Macaca mulatta: one gene and its partner. The protein of the gene in region 1 purifies or fractionates together with the protein of each later gene. This does not show direct contact. Links are inferred from orthologs where the notes say so. Each region holds a gene or a part of one and is shown on either strand. Other genes may lie near its edges.

Region 1 (3,661 bases):
AGACAGTGGGACAGGAGGAAAGAGCAAGCATAATTGGGGCTGGAGCCTTAATCTGGAATCCCTCTTCTACCAAGACCTACCTGTTTGACCTTGGACAAGTTACTTAGCCTTCCCTGTGTCCATTTTCTCATCTTATAAACTGGGGACATGTAGTGCTCAAGGGAGCGTAGGGTAAAATGAGGTGAGGCACGCTAAAAACTTGCATAATTGGGAGGGGCTTAATTGTGGTAGTTATTATCATCACCCTTAAATCTACAAGCAATTCACTCAAACTAGTTTGAGTATTTATAAGGCAAACATAAATGAAACTCAATATACCTATCACATTAGGTTTGAAAAAAAGCTGTGTTTTAAAAAGCAGCTAATTGCAATCCGTTACAAAATCCCCAGATTACAAGAAAAACTATAATACACTTAAAAAAAAAAAAAAAAAGACAAATCATGATTAAGGGATATATAAATACATTTATTGGTAGTATTCCTGAATGATGAATGCAGAGAACAGAATACAAAGAAATCAGCACATACAAGGAACCATTAATCTTCAAAAATGCTATATACTTAAATTTTGACCAATTTTGCATATTTGTTTAGATTTACAAACAAATGTAAAGCAAAGTTTTCTTCTGAATATACTTCAAATTTGAATTGTAGTGTTCTCCATTCTAAAGCCAGCTGTTTTTTGCTGTATTTACACCAACTATGATTTACTTTGTATCTAACCTAAAAGCAAGACTCTGCAAGCTGATCCTGAAGCAGCCAGTTACTCAGGAATTTTACAACAGCTATTAGAGAGAGGATAAAGCCACATGAAAGAGCGAGCCTCAATACTAGATATACAGATACAAGAGAAAACACCAAGAAGCAAAAAGAATCACAGAAATACCAATTCTATTCTAAAGCATAATTTCTAATTCTAGCAGCAATTCAATTAGCAATAGCTTAGGTGCCTGTATTCCAAAAAACAAAACCATTAGTTCTTTCACTTCAATTTCCTGACTTTACCCAATGAATAATTATCAAGCCTTCATATTCTTTTTTAATAACTCAAGAACATAATTCATACATTACAGGATCATTAACAAAAGAGGCCTTCAAACATATTGCTGAAAGCTGCAATATAGTTTGAGGGCCAGATTTCAATTTACATAATATTACCATTCATAAAGAGTTTATGACACCCAGTACAATACTGTTCAGCACGTTAACTCAGAAATGCTCCATCCATTCTTGCCATCAGAGAATTACAGATATGGATGGGATTGTTAAAAGTCTAACAGGGCCTCTAAATAGAACTGCACATGAAATAATTATGAACTATGATAAAACTGTGACAACACAGCTAGCTTATAGAACTGAATTTTTCACTATAATAGCACTACAGATTTATGACAGTTAAATATCAGAATTATTTTTCCCTGCTAACTCTTCAATAGAAAAAGGATTTTCTGACTGTAATTCTGATGAATGGTTATCTCTGACGAATAGGGTACCAGGGAAAATCGGAAAGTGAACAAAATGAACTCGTTTATTTTTCACAGATATTAACGAGCAAAGCAGTTTACAAAAAATCAAAAATTAACCTAAAAACAAATAAATATAAGATCAAATCAATCACCTTTGAACAAAATATAGCTCATTTTCAAAAGTTTTGTTTGGTTTGTGACTAGACTTAAAAATACTAAAATAAGCCGAATAGATTCTAACAATACTAATTTGCTGCACAAGATTTGAAAAAAGTACTTCAAGTTTTAAATTATCTCTTGTCCCTAGAGACAGTAAATAAAAAGTGGCTCTTGCAAAAATAAATGAAAACAAAACCACCAACAAAAACTAATCATATAAGACACTGTTTTTCTTTTTGAATACTTCAACTGGTCCTATATTAGGATAAGGTTTTGATAGCAAGGACTTCCTAGCCTCTTCCTTTATCTTCCATTCTCTAGTCATTTGTGTTTTTACCAAACAAGGCTATGTGCAGGTTTTCCTACAAAGTCAGGTTGAGTCAGAGGTAGCGTTAGGATGCAATATACTTGATCATAATATGTAGTTAGTTCAAATGAACACATCGTTATCTAAAAGGATTACAATAATTAAAAATGCAAAAAGAAACATGTACCGCCCTCACTGCTTTGCACTAAGAAAAATTCTGAGAAACTGAGAACAAACATTGGAAGCCAGGAAATAGGCAATTCATTGCCTCATCTTCCATGAGCTCCTTTAATGCACCAGTTCAGGCTGGTTTTCCACAAAGGGCAGCACCCCGCTCACATAATAGGCAATGCCAAGAGACAGCAAAGCAATGACGAAGATCAAAAGCAACACTCTCCAGAAGCCCAGATCCTCCACAAACTCCTGCCACGTGGTTCGGAAGCTGGAAAGGACCCCTTCACCTTGCTGCAGGTTGGGATTGAGGAGTGAATGGCTTTCCATAGCACTGTGGAAGAAGAAAGAGCAAAAAGGGCATTAAAAAACACAGCAATTCCAAAAACATAAAACTATAGGACTATTATTTAGAAAAGACCAAATACACACACACACATACATATATACACTCTTACATGCTTATGTATCTGAACAATATATCGTAAACTGTAAATTGCTAAATGGTAATGAGTATGTTTCTCTTGGTTTAGAATTTAGTAAAGTCAAGTTAAAAATTCTGTTAAAAAGGTCCTGGTTGGGCATGGCGGCTCATGCCGGTAATCCTGGCACTTTTGGAGGCCAAGGAGGGAGGATCACTTGAGCCCAGGAGTTCGGGACCAGCCTGGGTAACATAGCGAGACCCCATCTCTATTTTTTTTAAGGTGTCCTGAGCAGAAGTCTTGAAATAGGTTAAATGAGTTGTTTCCATCAAGATATTAAACCACAATACATTATTGTTATGTTAAATTTAGAAGATTCAAAGGGTAGACTCATAATTTAAGAACGTATTAATATGAATAATCAGACACGCAGGTGATGACACCTGAAGAGGACAGTCATCTACAAGTCAAGCAGGGAGGCCTTAGAAGAAACCAACTTTGTGACACCTTGATCTCAGACTTCTAGGCCCTAGAACTGAGAAAACAAACGTCTGTTTGAGGGGGCAGTGGTGGGAAAGATGAGTAAATCTAAAAAGTCACTTATATAGTGTGTGTGAATCTTAAAGTTAAAAGGGAATTTTTATTAATTTAGTTCAATAATCTGACCAATGAAGGAATTCCTTCTTTAAGTGTAATTCTCTAATAATGGAAGCTTACTCTTCAGCCTGTTGTCCATGTGGACTCATCTAGTTATCAGAATTTTTTTTTTTTTTTTTGGAGACAGAATCTCACTCTGCCGCCCAGGCTGGAATGCAGTGATGTGATCTCGGCTCACTGCAACCTCCACCTCCCCGGCTCAAGCAATCCTCCTGCCTTAGCCCCCCAAGTAGCTGGGACTACAGGTGCACACCACCATGGCTGGCTAATTTTTGTATTTTCAGTAGAGACAGGGTTTCGTCATGTTGCCCAGGTTGGTCTTGAACTCCTGAGCTTAGGTGATCCACCTGCCTTGATCTCCCAAAGTGCTAGGATTACAGGAATGAGCCACCACAGCTGGCCTAGTCATTAGGAATTCTTAATAGTTTCTTCCTACTCGTTTTAGTTCTATCTTGTACAATAAGACAGAATATGTTCAT
Region 2 (4,053 bases), on another chromosome or scaffold:
GTTTTATTTCCCTTTTTCCTTTTTTTATCCTTTTCCTAGTAATTCACTGAAAGGTGCCTTTGCTAACCCTTAAAATTTTTTAAGTTTATTTTTTATTGAGGTAAAATATACATATATAATGGTACCATCTTTACCATTTTTAAGTGTACAGTTTGGTGGTAATAAATACATTTACATTCTTTTTTTCCTTCTTCATTCTCCCCCGCCAGCCTGCCAGCCTCTGGTAACCACCAGTCTATTCTCCATCTTCATGAGATCCACTTTTTTAGCTCCCACATATGATTAATAATGTGATATTTGTCTCTCTGTGCTTGGCTTATTTTACTTAACATAATGACCTCCAGTTCAATCCATGTTGCTACAAAATGACTGGATGTCATTCTTTTTAACGGCTGAATAATGCTCCATTGTGTATATATACACCACATTTTCTTTATCTAATTATCCATTGATAGACACTTACATTGATTCCATGTTTTGGCTATTATGAATTGCGCTACAGTTAACATAGGAGTGCAGATATCTCTTTGGTATGTTCATTTCCATTCTTTTGGATACATACCCAATATTGAAATTGTTGGATCATAGGGTAGTTCTATTTTTAGTTTCTTTACTAACCTTTTTTAAGCTGAAAGTAATATTGAGCTTTTGTTCTTCTCTGTTCTCAGATTTAATCTTTTCAGTGTTTTTTAAAATTTTGTTTGCATTTTTTTCCTAGGATAAAATTTACATGTATGGAGGAAAAATTGATTCAACTGGGAATGTGACCAATGAGTTGAGAGTTTTTCACATTCATAATGAGTCATGGGTATTGTTGACTCCTAAGGCAAAGGAGCAGTATGCAGTGGTTGGGCACTCCTCACACATTGTTACGCTGAAGAATGGCCGAGTGGTCATGCTGGTCATCTTTGGTCACTGCCCTCTCTATGGATATATAAGTAATGTGCAGGAATATGATTTGGGTAGGTATATTTTTTCTAGTAGATGCCTTTTGAACATCAGATTCAAAACCTCTAAGCTTATTATTTTGACTGTTTAGAAAGGTTCAACCTCATATTGATTCAGTACTTTATCTTGAAACATAGTTAACACTGGGCCCGGGCGTGGTGACTCATGCCTGTAATCCCAGCACTTTGGGAGGCTGACGTGGGCAGATCACCTAAGGTCAGGAGTTCAAGACCAGCCTGGCACCAACATGGTGAAACCCCGTCTGTACTAAAAATACAAAATTTAGCCCAGCATGGTGGCAGGCACCTATAATCCCAGCTACTCAGGAGGATGAGGCAGGAGAATCGCTTGAACCTGGGAAGTGGAGGTTGCAGTGAGCCAAGATTGCACCACTGCACTCCAGCCTTAGGGAGAGAGTGAGCCTCTGTCTCAAAACAAACAAACAAACAAACAAAAACCAATATAGTTAACATTGATGTATTACCAGTGAAATACAGATTATTGATACTCCTATGTAGTATGTGTTTTTTACTGTCAGTTTGGTAAGGAGCCAAAGATGACCCAAAGTACTCTGGGTATTTAAAATAAATAAAAAGAAAATGGTTCAAAACAACAAATATTGAAGAAAAAAAGTATTTGCCTAGCCCTTTAGAGATTGGTTTAGCGGAGTATGATTTACCCTTAATATAAAATATTTCCTTTGGTTAAATTTCATTGTATCTGTTGTTGTGCAGTAGGAATACCAGGTATAATTAACATTTTGTGAAAAGTAGGCCTATAAAATATATCTGTATATTGGTCACCAAAGGTTATAGGGAATTAAATGTTCATTTGAGTGGAATCTGATCTTTTTATTTTATGTATTGAGACAAGACCTCACTCTCTCACACAGGCTGGAGTGCAGTGGCACAATCATAGCTCACTGCAGCCTTGATGCCCTGTCCTCAAGTGATCCTCCCACCTTAGCCTCCCTAGTAGCTGGGACTACAGGTGCGTGCCACCACTCCTGGCTAATTTTTTAATTTTAGTAGAGATGGGATCTTACTATGTTGCCCAGGCTGGCCAACATAGCAGGCTTCAAGTGATCCTCCTACCTTAGCCTCCCAAAGTGCTGGGATTATACATGTGAGCCACTTCGCCTGGCCCTGAGTGTTTTAAATTTAGTTAATTCTTTTCTTACATGGCATATTAGAACATCAGAACATAGAACAGACTGGAATTAGGCCACATGGCTTTGTTACAAGTTTAGGTGACTTTCTTTAAAATATAAAGATAAAAAAGTATATGTATCAGGTCTCCTGAAATCCCTTCTCGTGCCCTAAGCGCTTTGGACATTTTCAGTAGTAGAGAGGAGGAGCCTGCCATGCTTGCCTTTAACTGTTTTTCCTTTCCAGATAAGAACACGTGGAGTATATTACACACCCAGGGTGCCCTTGTGCAAGGGGGTTACGGCCATAGCAGTGTTTATGACCACAGGACCAGGGCCCTGTATGTTCATGGTGGCTACAAGGCTTTCAGTGCCAATAAGTACCGGCTTGCAGATGATCTCTACCGATATCATGTGGATACCCAGATGTGGTGGGTACTTTTTCTTGAGCTTTCACTTTAAGGTGTAAATTCTGTAGAGGCAGTTGTTGAGAAAATATTGTGCTATCTTTTTGTTTTTATGCCTGGCAGTTAATTCTGTTCAGCGTTGTATATAGAGAAATTGGGAAATAAACAGAGGGTAATAAAGTAGCTAGTATTTGTTTTGTTGCATTATTCTGTAATTCTGTAGTAGGTTGGTTAGAAAATGCTTAGTTTTTTTTAACAAATATAAAGCAAATTTGAGTTATGAAATAATGTAATTATAAAGCGATGGTTTCTCTTCTTTTTCCTCACCTATTTGATACCCTGCTATGGATACTGTTTTATATTCTGTCATAAAAATTATCATTTTGAGTAGCTGTGGAATACTCCATTTTGTGGGTATGCTGAGACTGTGCAGGTGAAAGTTTTGGTTTCCTTCTAGTTTTTATGTTATTAAGAAACCATTATGCATTAAGCTTCTGTCAATATTTCACATGATTTCTGCCCAGAAACTAGAATTATATAGCTACAGAGTATGAAGAGTTTAAGGTTCTTAATATTTGCCAAAATTCTTACAGGTCTTTAAAATTATATATATTTATTGTCGAAAAAGTTACTTATATGTAGGGAAAAATCTGGAAGGATTTGTACCTTTGGGTCTGAGGTTAATAAAGTGGTTGTGCTTGCATTAGCAGATACATAAATATTCTTTAAAAACTAACCTTGTATTTATTATTTCTAAATAAACTCAAAAGGACCATTCTTAAGGACAGCCGATTTTTCCGTTACTTGCACACAGCTGTGATAGTGAGTGGAACCATGCTAGTATTTGGAGGAAACACACACAATGACACATCTATGAGCCATGGTGCCAAATGCTTCTCTTCAGATTTCATGGCTTATGACATTGGTAAGTTTCCCAAAACCATTTTAGCTTCAGGCATCTTTTTGTCTATAAGCAACATTTAAAAGGAGACTGGAAATATTGCCAGTTAAAAATGGTCAGGCCTGGCTAACCTGGTGAAACCCCGTCTCTACTAAAAAATACAAAAAACTTGCCGGGCGAGGTGGCGGGCGCCTGTAGTCCCAGCTACTTGGGAGGCTGAGGCAGGAGAATGGCGTAAACCCGGGAGGCGGAGCTTGCAGTGAGCTGAGATGAGATCCGGCCACTGCACTCCAGCCCGGGCGACAAAGCGAGACTCCGTCTCAAAAAAGAAAAAAAGGTCAGGCCATTTGAAAGAGGTCCAAATGGTATTTTTTATATTCCTTTGACTAATGTTACATATCTGATAAAAATTATTTCTACATTAAATTCTTTTTGAAATAACTCCTGTTAATTGCTTGAATGCTAATTTTTGAGGCTGAGTTAAGGTGTCTAGTCTCTCCTTTGTAATGTTATGCCTACCTGGTAGTGTTACATAGTTGCAACCACCAGCATTGTGTTAAAATTGGTTCACTTATTAGCTTTATCTCATTCCCTAGAAAACTGGTTTCTCACATGGTCTTGGTGTAGCAATATACTAGACCGGAAGAGGG

Evidence for each region. Proteins that work in one complex are often made in the same cells at the same time.
Region 2: the proteins of ANKRD46 (region 1) and ATRN purify together in Homo sapiens (co-immunoprecipitation; 3 studies listed by BioGRID and IntAct, with this or other methods). This does not show direct contact. The link is inferred for Macaca mulatta from reciprocal best matches to the Homo sapiens genes ANKRD46 and ATRN.

Annotation. Positions count from the first base shown.
Region 1 is NC_133413.1:110,862,242-110,865,902, forward strand, and holds the end of ANKRD46 (ankyrin repeat domain-containing protein 46), read right to left. Parts: intron 2,438-3,661; coding exon 2,221-2,437; 3' UTR 751-2,220; downstream 1-750.
Region 2 is NC_133415.1:80,514,437-80,518,489, reverse strand, and holds part of ATRN (attractin), read left to right. Parts: intron 1-718; coding exon 719-962; intron 963-2,342; coding exon 2,343-2,526; intron 2,527-3,272; coding exon 3,273-3,427; intron 3,428-4,053. UniProt on the Homo sapiens protein: Involved in the initial immune cell clustering during inflammatory response and may regulate chemotactic activity of chemokines. May play a role in melanocortin signaling pathways that regulate energy homeostasis and hair color.